4 linked regions of the Arabidopsis thaliana genome follow. The protein of the gene in region 1 interacts with the protein of each later gene in a biochemical or structural test. Each region holds a gene or a part of one and is shown in the gene's direction. Other genes may lie near its edges.

The links.
Region 2: of the proteins of MPK7 (region 1) and MYB80, one has a biochemical effect on the other in vitro, tested with the Arabidopsis thaliana proteins (one large-scale study listed by BioGRID).
Region 3: of the proteins of MPK7 (region 1) and AT4G08170, one has a biochemical effect on the other in vitro, tested with the Arabidopsis thaliana proteins (one large-scale study listed by BioGRID).
Region 4: of the proteins of MPK7 (region 1) and AT2G38300, one has a biochemical effect on the other in vitro, tested with the Arabidopsis thaliana proteins (one large-scale study listed by BioGRID).

What each region holds. Positions count from the first base shown.
Region 1 is NC_003071.7:7,906,746-7,912,538, reverse strand, and holds MPK7 (MAP kinase 7), read left to right. Parts: upstream 1-2,498; 5' UTR 2,499-2,822; intron 2,823-3,157; 5' UTR 3,158-3,164; coding exon 3,165-3,587; intron 3,588-3,677; coding exon 3,678-4,361; 3' UTR 4,362-4,765; downstream 4,766-5,793. Other genes in the region: AT2G18180 (Sec14p-like phosphatidylinositol transfer family protein), read left to right, coding at 1-80, 162-211, 297-396, 505-645, 711-771, 868-1,268, 1,360-1,485. UniProt on the Arabidopsis thaliana protein: MKK3-MPK7 module acts as a positive regulator of PR1 gene expression.
Region 2 is NC_003076.8:22,716,512-22,721,628, forward strand, and holds MYB80 (myb domain protein 103), read left to right. Parts: upstream 1-2,679; coding exon 2,680-2,812; intron 2,813-2,910; coding exon 2,911-3,040; intron 3,041-3,453; coding exon 3,454-4,153; downstream 4,154-5,117. Other genes in the region: COX15 (cytochrome c oxidase 15), read left to right, coding at 1-94; AT5G56100 (glycine-rich protein / oleosin), read left to right, coding at 610-1,062; AT5G56120 (RNA polymerase II elongation factor), read left to right, coding at 4,972-5,117. UniProt on the Arabidopsis thaliana protein: Transcription factor that binds to the DNA sequence 5'-CCAACC-3'. Regulates directly PME5, UND and GLOX1. Essential for tapetum development in anthers and microsporogenesis.
Region 3 is NC_003075.7:5,161,970-5,169,446, reverse strand, and holds AT4G08170 (Inositol 1,3,4-trisphosphate 5/6-kinase family protein), read left to right. Parts: upstream 1-2,254; 5' UTR 2,255-2,446; coding exon 2,447-2,640; intron 2,641-3,075; coding exon 3,076-3,157; exon of another isoform or gene 3,158-3,352; coding exon of another isoform or gene 3,353-3,364; coding exon 3,365-3,397; exon of another isoform or gene 3,398-4,378; coding exon 4,379-4,499; intron 4,500-4,611; coding exon 4,612-4,704; intron 4,705-4,884; coding exon 4,885-5,004; intron 5,005-5,085; coding exon 5,086-5,262; intron 5,263-5,345; coding exon 5,346-5,401; intron 5,402-5,478; coding exon 5,479-5,563; intron 5,564-5,639; coding exon 5,640-5,740; 3' UTR 5,741-6,227; downstream 6,228-7,477. Other genes in the region: AT4G08160 (glycosyl hydrolase family 10 protein / carbohydrate-binding domain-containing protein), read left to right, coding at 6,753-6,803, 6,895-7,235, 7,332-7,477. UniProt on the Arabidopsis thaliana protein: Kinase that can phosphorylate various inositol polyphosphate such as Ins(3,4,5,6)P4 or Ins(1,3,4)P3. Phosphorylates Ins(3,4,5,6)P4 to form InsP5.
Region 4 is NC_003071.7:16,042,551-16,047,993, reverse strand, and holds AT2G38300 (myb-like HTH transcriptional regulator family protein), read left to right. Parts: upstream 1-1,978; 5' UTR 1,979-2,314; coding exon 2,315-2,549; intron 2,550-2,700; coding exon 2,701-2,777; intron 2,778-2,900; coding exon 2,901-2,937; intron 2,938-3,024; coding exon 3,025-3,136; intron 3,137-3,257; coding exon 3,258-3,819; 3' UTR 3,820-4,046; downstream 4,047-5,443.

The sequences.
Region 1 (5,793 bases):
TCAATGCTGGCTCAGGATTCAGGATGTTGTGGAACACGGTTAAGTCTTTCCTTGACCCAAAGACTACAGCAAAGATCCATGCAAGTATACAAACCCTTTTTATCACTCTTGACTGATATAAATGAGAGATATTCTTACTACTTAGCTAATTTGATATTCAGGTTCTTGGCAACAAGTACCAAAGCAAGTTGCTTGAAATAATTGATGCTAGGTGAGCTCTGCAAAAAGTTTCTGCATGAACACTCAAAAGATTAGTATTTCTCGAATGACAGACTTCTCATTTTTCTTTGTATCAGTGAGCTGCCTGAGTTCTTGGGAGGTTCTTGTACTTGTGCTGACAATGGGGGTTGCATGCGCTCGGACAAAGGACCATGGAACAATCCAGATATTATGAAGGTTTGTTTTCTACAACTTCTTTGATCTAGTAAAGCAACAACAACACTCATAGTTAGTTTCTTTCTTTCTATATGAAAACTAAGATGATTGTCACCGTAAACCTAACAGAGAGTTAATAATGGTGACCACATATGCTCAAAGAGATCTCAAGCTGATAATGCTGGAGAGAATATTATCTCTCAGGGGAATAACTCTGCAGTTGAGGAAGCTCCTGAAACTGACCAGTCACAGCCCTCTCCTTGTCAAAATGTAAGAATGACACTATTTTCCTTCATGAGGCTTGTATTCTCCTTATATTTCTTCCCACATCTCAGGTCGTGGTTGCTCATCCAGCTTGGAACATACCAGAAGCTCACAAATTTTCCCTCTCAAAAAGTATAAGAGATCATGTGCAAATTACACTACTAAAGAGACAAATACTACTCCTTTTTAAAAGAACTTGAATTTAAGTACTTCTCTGTTTTTGAACAGGGGATGTTTACGCCATTCAAGAAGCTTGCAAAGCTACAAATGAAAGTGGAAGGTCTCCTATTTTCACTGGAGTCATGGCTTTTGTAATGGGTGTAGTCACCATGATTAGAGTGACTAAAAACGTTCCAAGGAAGCTAACCGAGTCAACTATATACTCTAGCCCGGTTTACTGCGACGAAAACTCGATGAACAAGAGCTCGATGCATGGGAAGAAAATGGCAACAACAACCATCTCAGGGGAAGATTTCATGGCGGTCATGAAACGAATGGCTGAGCTTGAGCAGAAAGTCACAAACTTGAGTGCACAGCCAGCAACTATGCCTCCTGAAAAGGAAGAGATGCTTAATGCTGCCATTAGCCGAGCCGATTTCTTGGAACAAGAACTTGCTGCAACCAAGAAGGTAACACAAAACAAAAAAAACTTTCATATATATTACTGATTTGTTCTCAGCTTTCACTATCTCACACTAAAGAGTTGTTGTATCTTCACAGGCTCTTGATGATTCTCTTACCCGACAAGAGGACCTTGTGGCATACGTTGAGAGAAAGAAGAAGAAGAAGAAGCTGGTCCGCTTTCAAATCAATGCCTACTTAACTAATTTTTGTTTTGGTGTTTAAAATGGTGTTCTGTTTTACTTTTTATCTCCATGTGCAGTTCACTTGGTAAGTGAGGAACATGAGGAAGAAGAAGCCTCTAGTGGAGTTAGAGGTGGCCAATGCACTCATGTCATTAACTTAAATCTTACAGTCACATTAAAATTAAGAGAATCTCCAAAGAAAGAATTTTGTTATGTCTCTGTATATATATATCATCCTTAGATGTTACCACTTATCCGCATCATATGCGAGATCATGTTTGATTTGTACAAAAGAAAACAATGAATTTATAAGAAATATATTTTGTAAAGTAGTTTTGTACAAAAGATTAGTGTGCAAACATTTTTAACATCAACGTATAAAATTCAAGTACACTTTATATAAACTAAATTACTAGGGTTGAAGATGAATTGGGGCTTGATGGTTTGGAGAGACAGAATCTTCGAAGATCTATGGAGAAACTCAAAGTTGATTGATAATCTGCGTTCGTCAACTGATAGGTTTACTCAACCATTTGCCACTCAAATTAGTTATGTCATCATCTGATGTTAAATCCATCAGCCACACTTATCCTTTTTTTAATCTAATCCTCAAACCTCTCCGAAAGAGACAGAAGGTCTTCAAACCAAGAGTGGTTTTGTAGTTGACCACTTTTTGAGGCTTTTAAGTTAGGTTTAACTACACCCAGTGGAAACTTCGGTTCGGACAACAACAAGAAGTTGCTCCCAATCTACGTTTACCACGTGTCACTTTTTCAGTCCACCCACGTGCTTAGCCGGTTACTTGATCCATTTAAATCCTCAATTTCTGTATTCGTGTACGTATATTATACCAAGACAAATTCTACTTAATAAATATCTTACTCAATCTTTTTAATTAATTACAAAAATTCCTATGCATTATTTTTTTCTAATTACCAAATATAGTAATAACAATCCTGATTTGTATGCAAAAAAAAAACATGAAGAGTCCATTAAACTTTAGAGATTTTTTAATTAAAGATAGTTTGTAACTGAAGTTTTGTTACACAAAAAATATCTAATCTAAAAAGAATGTCGTTTTCGTAATTAGAAGACTTTGTAATTTGTTTTTTTCCTAAAAAACGAAAAGAAGTAACCAAAGCTTCTTCATCAACCAACGTATTTTGCTTCCTTTCTTCTTCTTCTTCTTCCTCTTCCCCTAACATTCCATTCCCCGTATGGGTCTCACCACTTCCTAACTCTTCTCTCTCTTATCTCTTCTTGTTTTAGCTATGAAGAAGCAATCTCAATTCAGATCCAATCATACCCTTCTCTTCTTTCATCTCTGATCATTAACAACAACAACAACGACTCGGGTTCTGTAAATTCAGTTATTGGGTATGTTCGATCTCTTGTTCTGTTTCTTCTCTTTATTCATTTAGCTTGTTTTAACTCTTAATTTTTGAGTTTTGATTATGATTAATCAAGAGTTATCATATTAAAAAGAGAATTTTTATAACCAAAGTTTGCTTTTTTCTTATGGAGTAGTAAGATTGATAGCTAAGTAAAGGAAACGATATTAAAAAGAGAATTTTTCTTAGTTGAATTTCACTTTTTGGAGACGTAAAGGAGAAAAAAGCTTCAATGATTCATAAATCGAAAATTCTCTATAAACCCTTTTCCAAAATCTTACCAATTTAGGGGAAAAATACTGAAAGTTTTGGTTTTTGCAGAGAGAAAATGGCGATGTTAGTTGAGCCACCAAATGGGATTAAGCAACAAGGGAAACATTACTACTCCATGTGGCAAACATTGTTCGAAATCGATACAAAGTATGTTCCGATTAAACCCATTGGAAGAGGAGCTTATGGTGTGGTTTGTTCTTCTATCAATCGTGAGACTAATGAGAGAGTTGCTATTAAAAAGATTCACAATGTGTTTGAGAATCGTGTTGATGCTTTGAGAACGTTGAGGGAACTTAAACTTCTTAGGCATGTGAGGCATGAGAATGTGATCGCGCTTAAAGATGTTATGTTGCCTGCTAATAGATCCAGTTTCAAGGATGTTTATTTGGTTTATGAGCTAATGGATACTGATCTTCATCAGATTATTAAATCCTCTCAGTCTCTTTCTGATGATCACTGCAAGTACTTCTTGTTTCAGGTAACTTTAAGTCCTTCCTCGGTAACTCTATGTTTCGAGTTTTGTATGTTTAGTTATTGAAATAAGTCTTGTTCTTGTTGTTGTGTTTAGTTGCTTAGAGGGTTGAAGTATCTTCATTCTGCAAACATACTTCACCGGGATTTGAAGCCCGGGAACCTCTTAGTTAATGCGAACTGCGATCTCAAGATTTGTGATTTCGGGTTGGCGAGAACGAGCCAAGGTAATGAACAGTTCATGACTGAGTATGTGGTTACACGTTGGTACAGAGCACCTGAGCTTCTTCTTTGTTGTGATAACTATGGAACCTCCATTGATGTATGGTCGGTTGGTTGCATATTCGCGGAGATTCTTGGTAGGAAACCGATTTTTCCAGGAACAGAATGCTTGAATCAGCTTAAGCTAATCATCAACGTTGTTGGTAGCCAACAAGAATCTGATATTCGGTTCATAGACAACCCGAAAGCTCGAAGGTTTATAAAGTCTCTTCCGTACTCAAGAGGAACTCATCTCTCCAATCTTTATCCACAAGCCAATCCTCTAGCTATAGATTTGTTACAGAGGATGCTTGTGTTTGATCCAACCAAGAGAATCTCTGTAACCGATGCGCTCTTACACCCGTATATGGCGGGGTTGTTTGATCCTGGATCCAATCCGCCTGCACATGTCCCAATCTCTCTGGACATAGATGAAAACATGGAGGAACCAGTGATAAGAGAGATGATGTGGAATGAGATGCTTTATTACCACCCTGAAGCTGAAATCTCAAATGCCTAAATCAACATCAATGATCATTAAGAGTAAGCTTTTTCCAGTTTTTTTTTTTTTTGCTTTCTAAAATGCAGCTTTGATGTTATGTTATATATAGCGAGTCCACAAACGCGGGAACAGATCGATAAAAAGCCCGGTGCTTTGATCTCGTCTGGTTTGATTTAGTTGCAGTGAGTGAGTAGTAGTAACAGAGTTTGAAAAGTGGCTCTCAGTATCTTTACCACTTTGTAAATGTGACTGTTTGTTACTAAGTAAGTTAAGGCTTGTTTTTGTTACATTATCTTTGAGTTGATGAGTTTTACTACTGATTTTCAGGCCAACTCTTGTATTTTGTATAGCTTTGCCATTGCCCACTTGCTAGCCACACGAAATAATTTTTTATAGTTTAGATACTCTCATACTATAAAGTATAAACTAATAAAAGTATAGATGTTATTTTCTCTAGTTTTTATCCTACCTTTAAAAAGCCGCCAAACATGTTTTCAATTCATTATAAGGGAAGATTGGATAATGTGTCACTTCATATTTTTCGTTCTTTTTAGTACTACCAAAACAATTTCAGAATATATTAGTAATCTTATAAATAATGATCTAAGGAAGTGTGCTATTTTTTTCAGTTCCAATATGAAGACTAGTGTGTTTTAAAAATACTTTATTTTATAAGTGTATTTATTTCAAAGGTGAATTAGCTAAATAACCAATTCCTGAAAAGAAATTAAATATCTAGCACCATAAGTTGCCGAATTCAGAGAGTAACACATGAGGTGTGTGTAATGACAACACACTCTTTCACCACACACTCCTTCACCCAACTCTTTCATTCATGTTTAAGGCGCGTGAAGAAAACAGAAGTGTAGTGAATTATGCTGACGTGGTCTTTTAAGGAACAATAAAAGTTTAAGTTATGTTGAGAAGAGAAAAGAGAAATATGATTAAAATATGTTCACCCTTTTTAATATTGTTTACTATATTATGTTAACAATATTAATTGGTTAAATTAATAATACTATTAAAAAAACAGATTTTTTTTGTGTATCTAATATGATTTGAATTTTAAAAATCGGATACGAATTTCTTAAAAAATGAATAGTGATACCAAATTCTATACATATCATCATAGAAAAATAGAATAGTACTCCCTATGTTCCTTTTTGTTTGATTTTTTAGAAAAAAAAATTGTTTCTAAAAGATTGATTTTTTAGGTTTTCAATGCAATAGTTATTAGTTATAATTGAGAAATTGTAAACTTCAATACAAATTATTGAATATAATTGGTTTAGAGTTATTGAAAATTGTAAATCCCAAAGAACAATACATTTAAAAGCAACATTTAATATGTTTTATTAATATTTGTGTTTTTTCTAAAAAATCAAACAAAAAGGAACAGAGGGAGTATATATTTGTTCAAACCAAAACTTTGATTCCGATGAATCCAAAT
Region 2 (5,117 bases), on another chromosome or scaffold:
CACTTTGATGCTACTTCTCAATCACACTCTTCGGAGGCCATCACCTTCTCTTCTCAAATCTCTTCCACAAGTTGCTAAATCAAATTTCAGCTAAGCCCTCTTCACCAAAATCTTTCCTTTTTCATTATTTACTAAAAAAACAATTCTTTGGCTCACTATGCTACTAGCAAGCTTTCATCGAATCTTGTGTCAATGATGTTGTATGGTTCGAAAAATAAAGTACAAAAACAATTAACAAAAGTTTCATATGAATCCCAGAACTCTGATAACTTTCATTGATAGCTTCGTGTTGTTTGTTTCATTGCCAATAGAAAATCATTGGATAATTCTAGTTTTAGAGTCAATAATTTCTTATACCAATTTGGTTCAGTGGTAAATTTTAGTTCGGTTTTAGTTTAGATACGATTCGGTTAATTCAGTCCGGTTCAAATCCGTAAGCCTTGTGGTTGTGGATAATGTTTCGAGACAGTTTTTTGGCGTTTTGGATATACAAGACTATCCACGTGTCGTAATACTGTAGCTTATCGGTATCCACGTGTCAGTAGCCTACCATCTTCCTTTCTATATAGCCATGGTACAAAATTCTTTGTTCAACTTCACACTACTACTATGGAGAATCCTGGAGGAAGGAGAAGAAGAGACATAGCCATAACCGATGGAGAAAGAACGACCGGTTCTTCGGTTGTGGCTGCAACCGTAGCAGCTGTTGCAGTGGTAGGACCGCTTTTTGGTCTGATGAGTTTCAGCTTTGTGGCGACGGTGACTCTGTTTCTGATCGCTTCTCCATTGCTGCTGATATTTGCTCCAGCTTTTATGGTAACGGTAGCGGTTCTTGTGTCGGCTATGGTTGGTGTTGGGGTAGCTGCAGCCATGTGGATGATGGGAATAGCCGCTTTGGTATGTTGTGGCCGAGAGATTGGTATTGAAACCGGACTGGCTGGGAGGATGGTTGAGTCGGTGGTGAGAGAATTAGGTTACGGTCGGAGTCGTTACTTGCGAGACAAATCAGAGGATAGTTATTCAACTTCTTCTCCTTCTTCTCGGGATTACTCTTCTTCTTAGTTCAAACTTGGAAAAAGTCTCATGATTCATGGGAATTTCAAGAAGATGGTGAATAAAGAAACAAAAAAAAACAGAGACATGGCTATGATAAGAAAACAAAATTAAGTAGATTTTTTCGAGAGTGAAAATTTGTAATATCTATCCAAAGAAAATCTAGTAATGCTATATCATTTTTTTCAAGTTGTGTTTTTTCCCAAGTCAAGACAAATAGCAAACAGATGAAAACCAAAAATAATAGAATAAATAAATTGTAAGTTTCTTTAGGTCAAAACAGATTGTTAAGTTTAATTGATATAATAATTTTCAAAGATAAAATTAATCACAAGTTGTGGGGGATGGATTATCCGAAGTACAATCACCATGTCTATCTGAATTGTTTGAATTATCCAAATCCACATTATCCGGATTATTATCCATATTATCGAAAACATAGTTTTCCAATTTTTTTTTTTTTTTTTTGATAAAATGTGAATTATATTACCAAAAGGAAAGAGGTTATTTACAAAGCTGGGGGCAAGGAGCTTCTATGGCCAAAAAAAAATAAAAAGCCTTAGATAACTATTACAGAGAAACTGAAACTAATTTTCCAATGTTAACAAGATAAATACATATATGTCTGTAAAGTATAATGTATTAATTATCAATTGATTTTGAATTAGAAGTCTAAGAATTTTATAAGTGTCTCTCATCTAATTTTCAAATTCAAAAGTATACTACTATATCTATTCCATAAATATTACTATATATTTACATTTTGATCGATATTCAAGTTTGTAATAATGTGGATTTACCACTACTTGTTTACAACAAAAGATGACACAAGTAGGGTCCTTCGTGATTTAGAACAAAAGGTACAAGTTCGTACGCGAAAAAGGTACTTCTACAAGATTCTGTGCTTTTCACGAATGCTCTCATAGTCTCACTAATGCACACGAACGCTTTCGCAATATTCTCCGTACTTGTCGGTACTTCACGAATACATTCCCTTACAAAATGAAAAAAAAGTTGTCATAACTTTTTAAAAAAAATCGTGTCATAACTTCAATATGATCACAAATTATATTAAAAAAGAGTACAATTTCACTTCATAATCCAAAGGCTAGTTTGTTATCCAAGTCGTTCTACCAATCCCCAAAATGTTTAAAAGTTGGAGTTTGCATAGAGAATATCAGAAGAATTATATAATCTAAGTGTAAATATATGAAGAATATAATTTTATGGGTGAATAATCTGAATGTAAAAGGAGTTGACCAGGCGTTGAGTGGGTGACCTACCGGCTTAAGGGAATCACACGCTCTGTAGCGTTGAATTCTTTAAAGAGTTTAATCAATTCATGCACATCTGATGCTAATTTTTACTATGTTTTCATTTTTGTTAAATCAATTTTATTATATATATACATACATTTCCTTTCTTCTTTTGCAATTTAAAAGCCTTGATTACAAGAAAGTACAAAAATCAAAAGTTTGGCAGTTTTAATTCTTTGGGTGGGGCAATCTTTGATATATATAAGTTTTTTTCATTTCTTAACCAAATTTTCTTTTTTCTCGTTAGTAAATTAAGTAAAGAGTAATCAAATCGATCAAGAGATAAAAACTAGAAAGAAAGAAAGAAGAAATGGGTCGGATTCCATGTTGTGAAAAGGAGAATGTGAAGAGAGGACAATGGACTCCTGAAGAAGACAACAAATTGGCTTCTTATATTGCTCAACATGGTACTCGTAATTGGCGTCTCATCCCTAAGAATGCTGGTAATTTAAATTTTCTCTATATTTTTTTTAATGTTTTATTTAGTCAAGTGATCATTGTAATGTAATATAATGAATCGACAAAATTTGGTCTTTAATAGGGTTGCAAAGATGTGGGAAGAGTTGTAGGCTGCGATGGACAAACTATCTGCGTCCGGATTTGAAACATGGCCAGTTCTCGGAGGCTGAAGAACATATCATTGTCAAGTTTCACTCTGTTCTTGGTAACCGGTATGATCACTACTCACTAGATCTAATTAACTACGGTTTTATGATTTTCTTGAAAAGATTTAATCTAGGTGTATAAATTACAGATGGACTCATAAATATCGGGTTTCTTTACTAAGTTTTTGAAATTTTGATGCTGACTTACTGATGAATTGTTTTTATGAGTTTTTTGACAAGTTTCTTGGGACACAAGAAACTGAATAAGACATAAGTTTTGTTCTATATACCATAATACCAAATCTAAGTATAGGGTTTTAAACTTTTGGGAACTTTTAATTTTCTATAAATTTGTTTTCGACTCATAAATAGAGTTTGATGATGTATTGCTGATGAATAGTCTGGGATTTTTCATGAGAAACAACAGTTAACATCTTTCTTGGGAAACATTTAATAATCTTTTGACATATATGGTTCAGGTGGTCGTTGATTGCGGCGCAACTTCCTGGTCGGACAGACAACGATGTGAAAAATTATTGGAACACGAAGCTGAAGAAGAAGTTGTCAGGAATGGGAATAGATCCGGTGACCCACAAGCCTTTCTCGCATCTAATGGCAGAGATCACCACTACACTTAATCCTCCTCAGGTTTCTCACCTAGCCGAAGCTGCCCTCGGCTGTTTCAAGGACGAGATGCTTCACTTGCTCACCAAGAAACGTGTTGACCTAAACCAAATCAACTTTTCAAACCATAACCCTAACCCAAACAACTTTCACGAGATTGCTGATAATGAAGCTGGTAAGATAAAGATGGATGGTTTGGACCATGGGAATGGGATAATGAAGTTATGGGACATGGGTAATGGATTCTCATATGGATCCTCTTCGTCTTCGTTTGGGAATGAAGAAAGAAATGATGGATCAGCGTCTCCTGCCGTTGCAGCTTGGAGGGGTCACGGAGGAATACGTACCGCGGTAGCTGAAACCGCGGCAGCGGAGGAGGAGGAGAGAAGGAAGCTGAAGGGAGAAGTGGTTGATCAAGAGGAGATTGGATCTGAAGGAGGAAGAGGAGATGGAATGACGATGATGAGGAACCATCATCATCATCAACATGTGTTTAATGTGGATAATGTCTTGTGGGATTTACAAGCTGATGATCTCATCAATCATATGGTTTGATTTTTATTTGGTTCTAAGTTTTTTCCTTTTTCTTTAAGATTTCATTGTTTGGATTTTCATTTTCGATCACATTGGTAGTTAAACATTGGGTATGATTAATTAGGTGCTTTCTGTTTTTACAGAGATTAATAAGTTTTGCTTTGTAAAGCATTTTAATAAATGAAGAAATGTAAATAAAGAGTTTTTATTATTTTCATCTTGAGTATAATAAATAGATAACAGACATACAAAATTACAAACCTTTGATGTTGGCTTCTGCGTTGAAGTCTACAAAATCCCAAAAATGTCATTTCCAATAACTTGCGTATGTGTTTTGAAAGTAATTAAAAACAGAATCTTATTTGTTACTTTATTCTATTATTTTAGTAATAGAAAAATTCATAAATATATCACTTGTTATAAATTGTGGTGGAACAAAAGCAAACAATGGAATCATATACTTTAGAAAAGAAAAGAAAAAAAATGGAATCATAGGGCCTAGTTAAACTATAAAGCACATTGCATATCATTCGGCCCATTAAAGGCCCAAATATTGGCTATATGCGTTTTGGAGGAGAAAATATAGCCGTTAAAGTGAGAAAAGGTCTCTTACTATGTTATCGCAGCAGTAACAACATAACGTAAAAAGAAAACAATCCGACCGTTGTACATATAGCCGTTAAAGAACAACAATTTAAATACCTGAAATTTTGTGAAAGAAAAGGAATTCTTACTAAAAAAACACAACGAACTCAAATCTTCAATCTTCATCTTACTCTCTAATTGCTTTCCTATTCCGATCTCTGTTTCTTCATAAAGTCTCAATCTTTTTTTTCTCTATGGCCGGAACTAAAGATTCTCATGTAGTGGAGATTCCAGTAGATGAAGAGCATAAAGAGAGACAACAACAACAACAGTTGGTTGCGGTCTCAAATCCGGGAATGGGAATACTCAAAGTGATTCAGCAGCATCCGTTGTCTGAAAT
Region 3 (7,477 bases), on another chromosome or scaffold:
ATGACTTGAACGAAGAGGACAGAAAAATCGGTGCCGTTGTTGAGGTGTTGTTTGCTGACGTGGCGAGAATCGAATATGGGCACTAAGTTTTTTTTTTTTTTTTGTAATGAAATATATTAAAAGTATTTAATAATAATATTCTCGTTAAATTAAGCAAATCATTAATTTCAGTTTTAGAATAAGGAAATTTTGCACGTCACTTTAAGGAATGTAATTAATTTTAAGAACAATAACTAGTTTTCTATACATCGTTTGTTGATTGATTTAATATGAAACACTATTCAAATGTGATCTTAAGGAGAGATTGTAATCATTTAGATTTGATTTATTTTCGAAAATCTTTAATTAAACCATTGATTCGATAATTTATTAGATGAGATTACATTTGATTAATGCTTTATATCTTAGCTGATTCTCTTGATTATTAAAAATATGCATAGTACTCGATTGAATTATTTTCATATTTTTCAAAATTTTCAATGAAAATTAAAATATTTTATCTGCTTTTTTCATTATGGTTGTTAATGTTCGTTTCACAAGCTTTAATGGTATCAAACTTTTACTCTTTTGAGGGTGTGGAGAAGTCTCCCAATGAGAGAGCTATGTTTCATCATGATGATTTTCTCTCCTAATCTTCATCCGAATAATCCCTAACACCATCTCAAGCACTATTAGGGATCTAATGTTATTTCGTTCGAGAATGAAGACAAAAAAGTATGAGGTTTAAAATTCATTCGTCTCTACGCTTCCCCAATATTTAGAGGCAGTTTACCATCTGCGTTTTAAGATCGATAATCTCTAGAAGGGATGATTGGCTCGGGTGGTGATGGGGCAAGATATGGTCTCTAACACGAGGAATGTGTACGTATATGGGTATCATTGTAAATCGGGAAAGAGTAATAGTCCAGCTAATCTATAACTTCGTGAACAAATCCTTGCGGTGCACAATAGGGACTTTCTAGTAATGCGACCTTCACTATGAGACTCTCACTTGAAGGAGCAAGAATCATCTTCATGAAAAATATTATGCCATTTAGAACATCATAAGTAGAGTTTCTAATACGTTAAAGAGATCCACACAGTCTCACTAGTTGAGATTTGTGTATTCTTCCTAAACCTTAAGGGATAATGCATCTACTCAAATTGTAATTTAGATTCTTGAAACCGGAGCATTAACTGCTCGAATACTCGAAAGTAGTTTGTGACAAGAGTTTCCAAAGTTGCAAAAGATCTCTTCCATCTAGAGTTGGGAGGGGATGACTTCTATGTGAATCCAAGATATCATGGTATTAAGAAACACATCTACAACATGCATCTCTCCAAATCAAAGAACCAATGGTTGAAGTAGTATGGCTTTTTGTTGAGAATCTTATAGGACTCTTTGAAGAAATGGTAAGATCATCAATTCTCAAAAAGCCAAAACAAAGTTTTCTCGAAAGCATGGGAAGATGAGTTGGGAAGATGAGTTCTAGTTAAGTCACTAAGAATGTGAGGACGTATTCGGAGGACCAAAAAGCTCAAAGTTAAAGTGATGTAGTAACTTAGCCGTTTATAAAGGGAAAGACGTACTATTTTAAGAGGAATTTTGAAGAAAGTTACCAATTTTAAAATTTAAAAGTATGTGAGATCTGCTTTTTTGAAATAAAATAATTTATTAAGTCTTTTTATACATAGAATATATATTCTTTTTAATGAAATTCTACCTAAGTTTTATTCACAAACATTCACTAATATCATTTATACAACCGTTTTGGTCATATAAATAGTTGTTGAGTTTTGATAAATTGATAAAAAATTATTTTACCTAATAAAATTATACAAAAATATTAATTTGTTTTTTTGCTAACTATATTATTTGAAAGAAAATTAGCTACATGATTTTCTCCTAAAACATTCATTTTGCGAATTATATCTAAAAAATTTAATCGTCTCTCAAACTTGTCAATACATTGATTTCAAATCCCGACCAACAATAAACTCTCCAAACTCAAACCAGATCGATCTATCTAACATTTTAAAAAATTCCAACCTAGATCATTCACGTTCTTAAACAACAACAAATCACAACTAGCTATATATCGGCTTGGCTCAGACAAAAATAAAACAGTGCAGTTCCAAGAATATGTTCAAATTGCAATATACATTTCTCATAATTAAAACATGTTTCTTTACCAAAAAAAAAAAAAAAACAACCGTTAGACACATACATGTGTACACATGTCCCTCACGCCGCTATAAATATTTCAGACCTCTCCCTACTCTCTCATAACCCACCCAAAATATCACAAGCACCGACTAAAACAATTCGGATCTAAACCCGACCCGGTAAAACCAATCCCAAATTTTACTCCGTTGTGAACGCATCAAACCCAGAAAATTTCTTCCTCCGATCTCGCATTCTCCACTTCCATAATCCCCAAAATTGTTTCGTTGATTTTTCCACAAGATGAAGCTAACGGACAACGAAGAGATCACCATGAACGGAACTCGAGAAATGGAGACGACAGAGCAAGAGACATCGTCGCCGTGTTCGTTAGTAATCGAAGCTTTTCCGGTGAAGAAATCCATTATTGTAGGTTACGCTCTTACATCAAAGAAGATTAAGAGCTTTTTACAACCAAAACTCGAAGGTTTAGCTAGGTTTGTGATTCTGATTTTTAACCCTAATTTTATTGTTTGTGCTATCAGATATTATTTAGGACTTAATCGAGCCAATTTTGAGGAAAACTGTTTACAAAAGTGATATGTACCTGTTCGGCACGAATTTTTTGTGTCAAATAGTCGGCTTTGATATTATTTAGGACTCAAATGAGCCAATTTAGAGGAAAATTGTTTACAAAAGTGATATGTAGCGGTTCCGCACGAATTTTTTGTGTGTCAAATAGTCCGCTTTGATATCATTTGCTTTCATGCATATTGTTAATGAACAAATTCTCAATTTTTTAAAATTAATTTTCATAAGAATATTCTCTTCACTATTTAATTGTTTGATTTTTCTTTTGGAATCTTTGACCTTCTATTGATGAAATGGTGTTACTATAAAGTTTAGTTACTGTAGTTATGTGTTTTGTGCAGGAATAAGGGGATATTATTTGTGGCAATAGATCAGAATAAGCCACTTTCAGAGCAGGGTCCGTTTGATATTGTGTTGCATAAGGTTAGTTTTATTGGATCTTTGTTAACCCTGTTGGTTTTCTGATACATTCATCTTATTTTTGCCTATGGTTTGTCAGAAGATATGTCTTGGGAACATCCCCTGCTCAGGTTGTTAGAAACTAACCTTGTTTTGCGTCTTCTTGCTTAGCTTCTTTTCATTGATGCCTGATTATTCTTATTTGGTGTTTGTTTTTACATGTACTGGCAGCAAATTGGAAAAGAATGGCGTCGAATTCTCGAGGTTAGTCTTACGATTGTTTCCGTTTTTGTATTTGCTGTGGCACATTCTATAGCCTAAGATTATTAGATCATGTATGTCTGTCATTCTGTGGTGATGAGTACCATGTTGATGTAGTTATGTTATATAAGCCTTTGTTAGATGAGAGATGGTGGTAAATTGCACAAGTTAGCAACTAGTTCCTTTTAATTTCTAAATCTTGTTTCTCAATGGAAATTTTTTTCCAGAGCTTTTACTCTTTCCTTGTCGTGAGTCATTAGTTGATACAAATTGAGGTTGAGACTACTGCAAGTGAGAATATTTCTACTTCCAGAGGCATAGAACTGTAACCTCTTCAGGTTTTCTAGAGTTAGATACTAGTAATGTTTTTTGAATATTGGGTTTACATGTTCCTGGTAATAGTTGAATGCAAAATCATTTCATCTTTAAGTAGAATGTAATGCTCTCTTGTCTACATATATAAGAGCCATCATCTGATTTCTCGTTGGGGAACAAGACATTTCACATCTCATAATTGCTAGAAGAATAGAAATGAAAGTATGCTGTTTGGTGTAGAAAGTAATCGGCGTTTCTGTGTGTTTAGATCCTAGAGCTATTCAGATCTCAGGAGATCAGACTATGAATCATTAGAATGCCAACTTCTGAGTATAGTTGAATGCTAGATTTATACTCTTCAGATAGTATATACTGATGATATAGAAAAGTGTCTACAATGAAACTTTAGTTGCAAAGTGCAAGTTTCATCAGTAGATTAGTTTAATTCTTAATCTTAGTTGCAGGATAGTGAAGAGTTCAACGTTGGGGATACAGTTTTTAGACTGACACTGTCGCTGTGTTAATAATAATATCAATGTAGATCAATATCTCAGGAGATCTCAGCAATACAGAGATAGAAGTTTTCTGTTTATGACCATTAGCAGGGATGCACTTTTGGGTGTTGAAAAGTAGACTATGTGTGAGCATAACTGTTTCTAATAATTTCAGGAATTTAGGCTAGCACATCCAGATGTCACAGTTCTTGATCCTCCAGATGCAATACTACATCTCCGTAATCGTCAGTCAATGCTTCAGTGTGTTGCGGACATGAATCTGTCTGATAGTAATGGTAAATATTCATGTGTAATCACTTGCTATTTGCTGTTAGGGACGCTAAGGTTAAAGATTTTATTAGTAGAGTTCTGTGTATCTGAGTAGTAGAAGTTGCTCTGATTGTGCAGGACGCGTTGGTGTGCCCAAGCAATTGGTAATTAAAAAGGATGCATCTTCAATTCCGGAGGCTGTCAATAATGCTGGTCTGAGACTACCTCTTGGTATGATTCCCTCCTTATGTTCTGTTAATGACTTTCGTTTAGCTTCATGTGGCATCTTGTTGTCTATCACAAAAGCCACCATGGCCTGTGTTTGTTCAATTGGTGGGTGGCTGAAGTTTTAGTTGTGCATTATTAATGGATCTATAAGTAAATTATTTAATTTGATGTTTAAAATCGTAGTTGCAAAGCCATTGGTTGCTGATGGAAGTGCAAAGTCACATGAGCTTTCGCTGGCTTACGATCAACACTCCCTTCTGAAGCTCGAGCCTCCTCTTGTTCTTCAGGAGTTTGTTAACCATGGTATGAGATTTTAGTGGTTATCATTGCCTGTACTAGAACTTAGATAATTTGATTACCTATCTAAATGCTTGGCTTTCGCAGGAGGTGTTCTTTTCAAGGTTTACATTGTTGGGGAGGCTATTAGAGTTGTCCGGCGCTTCTCCCTACCTGATGTCTCTAGACGAGAACTCCCCAAATCAGCTGGTGTATTCCGCTTCCCACGGGTCTCTTGTGCTGCAGCTTCAGCTGATGATGCAGATCTGGACCCGAGCATTGCCGGTAAAATCCTCTTCATCATCAGTAAAAATCGTCTGCATTTTTCCTTTGATGAGGACCTAACAATATCCTCATTCTCGTTGCAGAGCTTCCACCACGTCCTCTGTTGGAGAGACTGGCAAAGGAACTCCGTCGTGGATTGGTATGTTTCAGTCCTCTCTACTATATATCCAAGCAGGAGTATTATATCAAACTCTACTGATCTCTAATTTGTTGCAGGGTCTAAGGCTGTTCAATTTAGACATAATTAGAGAGCACGGGACAAGAGATCGGTTTTATGTGATCGACATCAACTATTTCCCAGGCAAGTTTGATTTCCACACATTTTTTGCAATAGACTATCACAAACATGTGGTTTAAGAACAAAAGAACTTGCGCAGGGTACGGGAAAATGCCAGAGTATGAGCATGTATTCACTGATTTCTTACTGAGTGTGGTACAAAGCCAATGTAAGAAACGAGCTTTGGCAGATCAATACTAAACTCAACGGAGAGACCATTGTTCCTCCCCAAAGAAAAAAAGAAGATTAGTAGTCTATGCAATTTATTTCTGTACAGGACAAAGCACCGATTTCCCTCGATGTTGTTCTTTAGCTTCATTGTGCTGTACAAAAGAACAATGGAAGATTGCATTTAAAAGAAAATCCTTGGGACCTTTAGAGATTTAAGGATAGAGAATTGTCTGAATCTCACTACAATGTCACCATATCAAAAAGTGAATAGACCTTATGTCACACACTACTCATATGGGCATGGCTTCACTTTGTGACTGCTTCTATCTTTTGATTTGGTTGGCTTTGTACTATTTTGACCATAAATGTCATTTCTTTTGGTTTTAATCTGCTCTTATCTTTTGATCATGTCCTTGTTAGTTTGTTTGAAACTTGGAGTTTATAGTTTGGATCAGTTTTGGATGCACTCTTTTATGAGTAATCTTACAAAATTTACATCACAAATTGTTGATTATTGACTCTTTTATATAAAGTAGCTTTTAAACCTTATCTAGTACAACAATTTGGTTAGATCAATGTGAACCTTCTGAGGATAGAAACCATTTTGAAACCTTAAAAAATAGGTTTACTTGCATTGTAAGGTTTAATAAACACAAGTAGGAAAACGAAACCTGAGCTTCAGCTTTGAATTCTTTCGTTCTTTCACATGGTTGTCTATGACAACAATTGAAGCCTTCTATTTTAATTCAAGCAAACTACACTTTCCTGGGTTTAAGACAAAGCAATTGTAGTTTCTCTTTTTCTTCTTCAAATCACAAAATCAATAATGTTATTTTTTTCAAAGTATTGTGTCTAGCTCTTGCTTGTCTTGGAGTTCACTTGAAACTCTCTATGTTCTGTCTTTGACATAGAAGCATATATTATATATATATATATATCAGAGCAAGTTCCTCAACCCAACCAAAAAAACTAAAACCTCAAAAGCTTTTTAACAATTATCTTCTTTTTGTGTGTACTTAATCTTCTTCGCTTGGAACTTGCTATGGAGAAGAATACAAATACGAACCATACAAGTGATGATAATAATGATAAGGTTGTCGATATTTAAGCTTCTTCTTAACAATAGTGCGCTAATGTTTCTACAAGCTAGCTAACTAGAGTTATTTTGTATTTACGTCTGGCAGAATCACACTAACGAAGAGCAGGAGAAGATCATCTTAAACCCTAATTTTGAGGATGGCCTAAACAACTGGACTGGAAGAGCGTGCAAGATTGTCTTACACGAATCCATGGACAGTGGGAAGATCGTACCGCTCTCGGGAAAAGTTTTCGCAGCAGCAACGCAGCGTAAAGACACATGGAATGGGATTCAACAAGAGATTTCAGGAAGATTCAGGAGGAAGCGTGTGTATGAAGTAACAGCGGTAGTTCGAATATTTGGCAACAATGTCACAAGTGCAACAGTACAAGCGACTCTCTGGGTCTTAAACGCAAACAAACGTGAACAATACATAGTCATTGCCAAGTAGGTTTCACCTTTTTTCATCTTCTCCATTACATAAGTATCTTGATATAAATTCATTATACTGATAGAGTTTGGTATGTCAATGAATCATATTAGTGTTCAAGCAACAGATAAGAACTGGGTGGAGTTGAAGGGTAAATTTGTAATCCATGGTTCGCCATCGAGAGTAATACTATACCTTGAAGGTCCACCTCCACGAGCTGACATTCTTCTCAACAGTTTAGTTGTTCAACATGCTAAAA
Region 4 (5,443 bases), 8.1 Mb from region 1:
CTTCTTTTTTCTACTTCATCAAAGCTTACAATTTCCTCTCCTCAACAACTTTTTTTGTTTTTTTTGGTAGGGAACAACTTTTTTTGTTTGGCTAGCAGAATTTTATTTACTAACTGGAAAATATGAACTTAAGCCTATAGTTTAATCTCATGAACTCATAATCTCCATTTAATTCTGCAACGAAGTTTTATTGGATGGCATGTACCCGAATCTATAGTAGATATATACAACTGGAAAACAGTATTGTATATTGTTTTCGTGATGCACCAAAAACTTATGATTGAAATTTACGTAGAAATAAAACAGTACAATTTGTTAGACATGTTAATAGAACTGATCTTGTGAGTGCTCATATTTCTTGGAATTCCAAGAGGACTTCGAAAGCATAATTGGATCTAAAATATATTATATCATAAGCATATATACGTGAGAATGTATTTATCTTATTGTTTTCATAATAGAAGTGGTAAAGGTAAATATTCAAACTAATTGTCGAAATATGCGGAAGAGGTAGTATTCAATGGCTTACGATGACTAAAATCGTAATTACAAAAATCACCATAAACTCGTCTAAAAAGACTTTCTTTGCAATTAAAATTAAACCATATAGGACTTCGATTTATACGGTGTCAAATTTTATAACTATGTATGTTAATATTACATATTTTTGGAACGAACGATGTAAAAAAACGGCTCAACTAACAACGCTATTCATCGCTTCACGGGGTCGGATGTGTAACGTAAACCAAGCAAGGACCACTTTACACATAAACTAATTCTCTCATACGAATCTACAAAAATACATATAAAGATAATATATAATTTTGGGGTAAGAGAGGAGCATTGTCCCGTGATTCTCGTCGAACAAAAAACAGAAAAAGAAAGAAAGAAAGAGGTATGTGTGATGATGTGGTCTACATCAAAGACAGCTGAGCAGTCACACGCCTTGTAATCGTAATTTATTCGTCTATCTACCACTCTCGCTCTTCCATTTTTTGCCTTTAGCATTCAATTCCACGCAAAACCCTAAACCTCATAATCTCATCAAAAAGTTTTAAAGATAAATATATATGAATCTACCCATTAATCAATATATTAGTTAGTATTGTGATTTATCACTTTCTAAATACTAAAAAGTACTCAGAAGATTAGAAGGTTGATTTTAAAAATAAATTTTCTAACTAATTTGATCGCTATATCAATAGAAATGAGAGGATTTAAAATCCATCAAGTATAGTTCACTTCGATAAATTAATATTTTGTATAAATTGATTCATGTCACGTACTGGATCTTTTAAATCGTTGAGGATCAAAAATTATTTTGCAACAAAAAGAAAAACAGAAGGAAAAGAAAGTTTAGTTAACATTAATTTTAAACCAAATGTCTTAAGAAAAAGACAATGATCTCGATCATCAATGATCCTAATTCCGACAAAACTACTCTGAGGTATATTATAATTTTGTGAATTCGATTTTGTATTTAATTATTTTTCCTGGAAACTGCATCACGGTATCAAAAAATTTAAAATTCTTCATTTTTTTGTTTTCTTCTAAACTCAAATAACGTCTCAACTATACTAATATCTTTCTTATTTTCTTATAATTATTAATTTTTTTTTTTTTTTTTTTTTTGTTGTTGTTGTAAATAGTCTTACTTATACTAACTAATTCATTCATAGACTGTTAGTCCCGATACATGAATTTTATCTATATCGATCTTTGTAATCGAAATGTTTGTTTGACGAACTAAGGCAATCTAAGACTACTAAGAATATGCTATATATAGAGCCTAATTTCTATCACACTCATCTTAGCCTTTGGTGAACAATAATATAGAATAAGTGTTACTTGTAATTTGTTGGCATGTTAAGGGTATAAACAACAATTTATCTCATTTATAGGAGTAATAGTTTTCTCCCTCCATGGTTGATATTAATATGCATCCACATATTAAAATATACAACTATTTATATATAGAGCTGTCTATAGTAGAAAAGGGCCGAAATCAATTAGCTGTGAACAGAAAAGAAAACTTTTTAACATATGCAACAAGATTTAGGTGAGGGTTTGTCTACATGTTCCGGGAAGAGAGAGAGAGAGAATCAGAAGTGTATCTTGATCTAGGGTTCACAGACAAAATCTCCATGCTTTGAACTAAGCAGAATTCATCTGGTCTTTTATCTCTTTCATATCAAACCAAAGGATTGATCTATCCATATCGTCCAAAACCTATATCTAGCTAAGCCTAGAACTTCTCTATCGTTTACCACTTTCTTTCTATATTTCTTCTGAATTTGTAACATCAGAAGTAATAATGATTCCAAGTATGGAGGGAGGCGGGAAGACTAACAGAGAAGAAGAGGAGGAGGAAGAGGAAGAAGAAGAAGAAGGTGAAGAGAGTAAGGTTTCAAGCAATAGTACAGTGGAAGAGAGCGACAAGAAGACTAAGGTTAGGCCTTATGTGAGATCTAAAGTCCCTCGACTCCGGTGGACTCCTGATCTTCATCTTCGCTTTGTCCGCGCCGTTGAGAGGCTTGGAGGTCAAGAAAGTACGTCCATAGCTACTAACTTCATCTTTCATCACCTCCTCCACATATATATAAAAGCATAAGCAATTTCTTAGTTATTCTTAGGTTAACTATTTGGTCAAAACCTCATGTGATTTTCTTTTTTTTAATGTGTATGTTTGGTTATGTATAGGAGCAACTCCAAAGTTGGTTCGTCAGATGATGAACATCAAAGGGCTTAGTATTGCTCATGTCAAGAGCCATCTACAGGTATTTGATCTACATACATCTAAAACGTACCTATATATGTGTTGTATTTTCGATTTCGTTTCAAATAATCTCTGAAATTAGAAAAAAAAAGAAATCACTAAATTGTGTATTGGAAAATTTTAGATGTACAGAAGCAAGAAGATAGATGATCAAGGTCAAGGTATTGATTCTTTCTATTTGTGTTCATTAGTTAGTTATCAAGTTATACATGTATAGGCCAATAAAGTGGGGTTTGAATTGTTGGCAGCTATAGCTGGTCACAAACATCTCTTCGAGACTTCCACAGATCGAAATATTTATAAACTAAGTCAGCTACCGATGTTCCGAGGCTATAATCATAACCATGATTCTCCATTCAGGTTGATATAACTTTTTTTTTTGAAAATTTTAGATTTTATGTGTTCCTTAATTTGAATGATATTCCGTTTTAATTATATTTATTCGGAAACTAAATTAATTGTCTTCTTTTGTTTTTGGTAGATATGGAAGTAAAATTTCAAATGCTTCTTTGTGGAACTCTAGCTCTCAAGGAACAGAAAGGAGTTTGATAGACCAAATTAGGCCCGGTTTAATCCGCAACGCGTCGGTTAGCAATAACATCCGTGGTAGTGATTATTGGACTAACAACAAGTCTTTCCAAAACATCTACTCTTCTTCAATTTCTAATCACTTTCCGAAACTACGACACGATCATCACGAACGGACCAATTCAGTCACATTCAACAGCATTCAAGGACACTCAAGAACTTTTCAAAAGTTCCATAACGGTGTTGAGGAGAACACTAATCATTCTTATTGTAGCAAGACAAATGGCAAAAGAGACGCAAGTAGGAGCATTGATCTTGATCTATCTCTTAAGCTAAGACAACCGGAGAAGACAATTTTGGAAGAGACAGAAACAGCAGCAACAACAACGGATCAAACGTTGTCCTTGTCGCTATGTCCAGGGTCGTCTTCGTGGAAAAAGAGCCGACTGATGAAAGATGAAGAGGATCGGACGGTTAAGATTGGTCAGGAGAGTACTCTGGATCTGACTCTATGAATTATATTTAAGAATGAGACAAATTCTAAGTGAGATCTTGAGGTACTTACCGATATCTTAATATTCAGTGTCGTTGTTGTTTATCATTAATCATGTATTTTCTTTATTATTAGAAAGGAAACAAAAATGTTTGATTATATTAACGGTCTTGAGTTTGTTTGATACCGCCAATTTGTATCATCACATATATAAACAAATATTACTAGCCACATCATAATGATTCGATCTTTTGTCTTCTCATAGCAATATACTATATGAAAATTACATATACATATAACAACAAATTTACATCGATTAGAGTATCTCTGCTGGTGAGCTTCATTCATTTGTAGATGAGACTTTTACGTAAATAGTACAAAAATTTTGGTTTCGTATTTATCCGAACAGTACATGGACAATTTTGTAGTTCCAAAACATGTTATAGTTAATAGTAGTGTTTTCAATAATTTCCAAAATCCATCTTCACTCATTTTTCCCTTTTCAGAGACATAGTGAAACAATTTTACACTATGCAAATCCGAAGCCAATTATTTTTGAGGTTTTTACTATATGTGAACAAGATTAATACTTAAACAACAAGACACACCTCGTTCTTTGTAAATATTAAAGAGGTTAAAGATCATAATACAAAAAAAAACATAGAAAAAGTTCACAAATCATCAAATCTTTTGAGTTCATTATTCTATATAAAATTTTATCTCGTGAAATGTTTATTGTATAAGGATGTGATTAGTTGCAAACCAAAAATTAATGTTTAATAGTATTTGATAGGGAACTTATTTCAACTGTGTAAAATTTTCCCGGTAAAATTTTCGTTCAATCAGTCGATTCTAAGAACATGAATCTTATTGAATCTCTAATAATTTATTGTATAATATGGTGGCACCTATACGTCAATACGATAATGACGTCGTTAATAGTAACGTTGAGAGTTGAGACTGTTGTATAATTTTGATTCGACGTGCCAAATACTACGTTCGACCAAGTATCAATTTTGATTTTCCAAAAAGAAAAAACAAGAAACTTAGGATCTCCGTTAGTTTGATTGGATACACTGATACTGTTTCGATATTTAGACAAACAAATGGAATCTTTGCTTCTTAAACATTCGATGCGTGTGTGTACCTGGTCAACTTCTTCAGACTTCATTATCAAACATGGCCGCACGATCAGTTTTATTTTGCTACTGGAGAATTAACTTATCCACCTCAGAATCTAAACTAATTTCTGAAACTATATAAGTGTTTTTTGGGGCTAAAAATAAGATGCATGAAGTGAAAGTATCCTAGTGGTTAAAAAGGGGTGTAAACATAACGTTTAATGTTGTATCCCTTTATATGTACCTCTAATGTCCCTCTTTATTTACTTTTAATGATTTTTAAGACTAAATATCTTCAGTTGAAGTAGGTAATCTTTTTGCCAAATTAGTCTTCGCAATACACGGATCGATTTCCTTATAAGATATTAAATTTAACTCATTCAAAAAATATTAAATTTGCAATGACTTATAAGATAAATAAAAACCAAGGTCCATATCTTATCCCAATTTGTTTTTTTTTTTTGTATACCAAATTTGTCTCCTATATTGTTTTTATATGTTTATATTCTTTCTCCTAGTAATTTA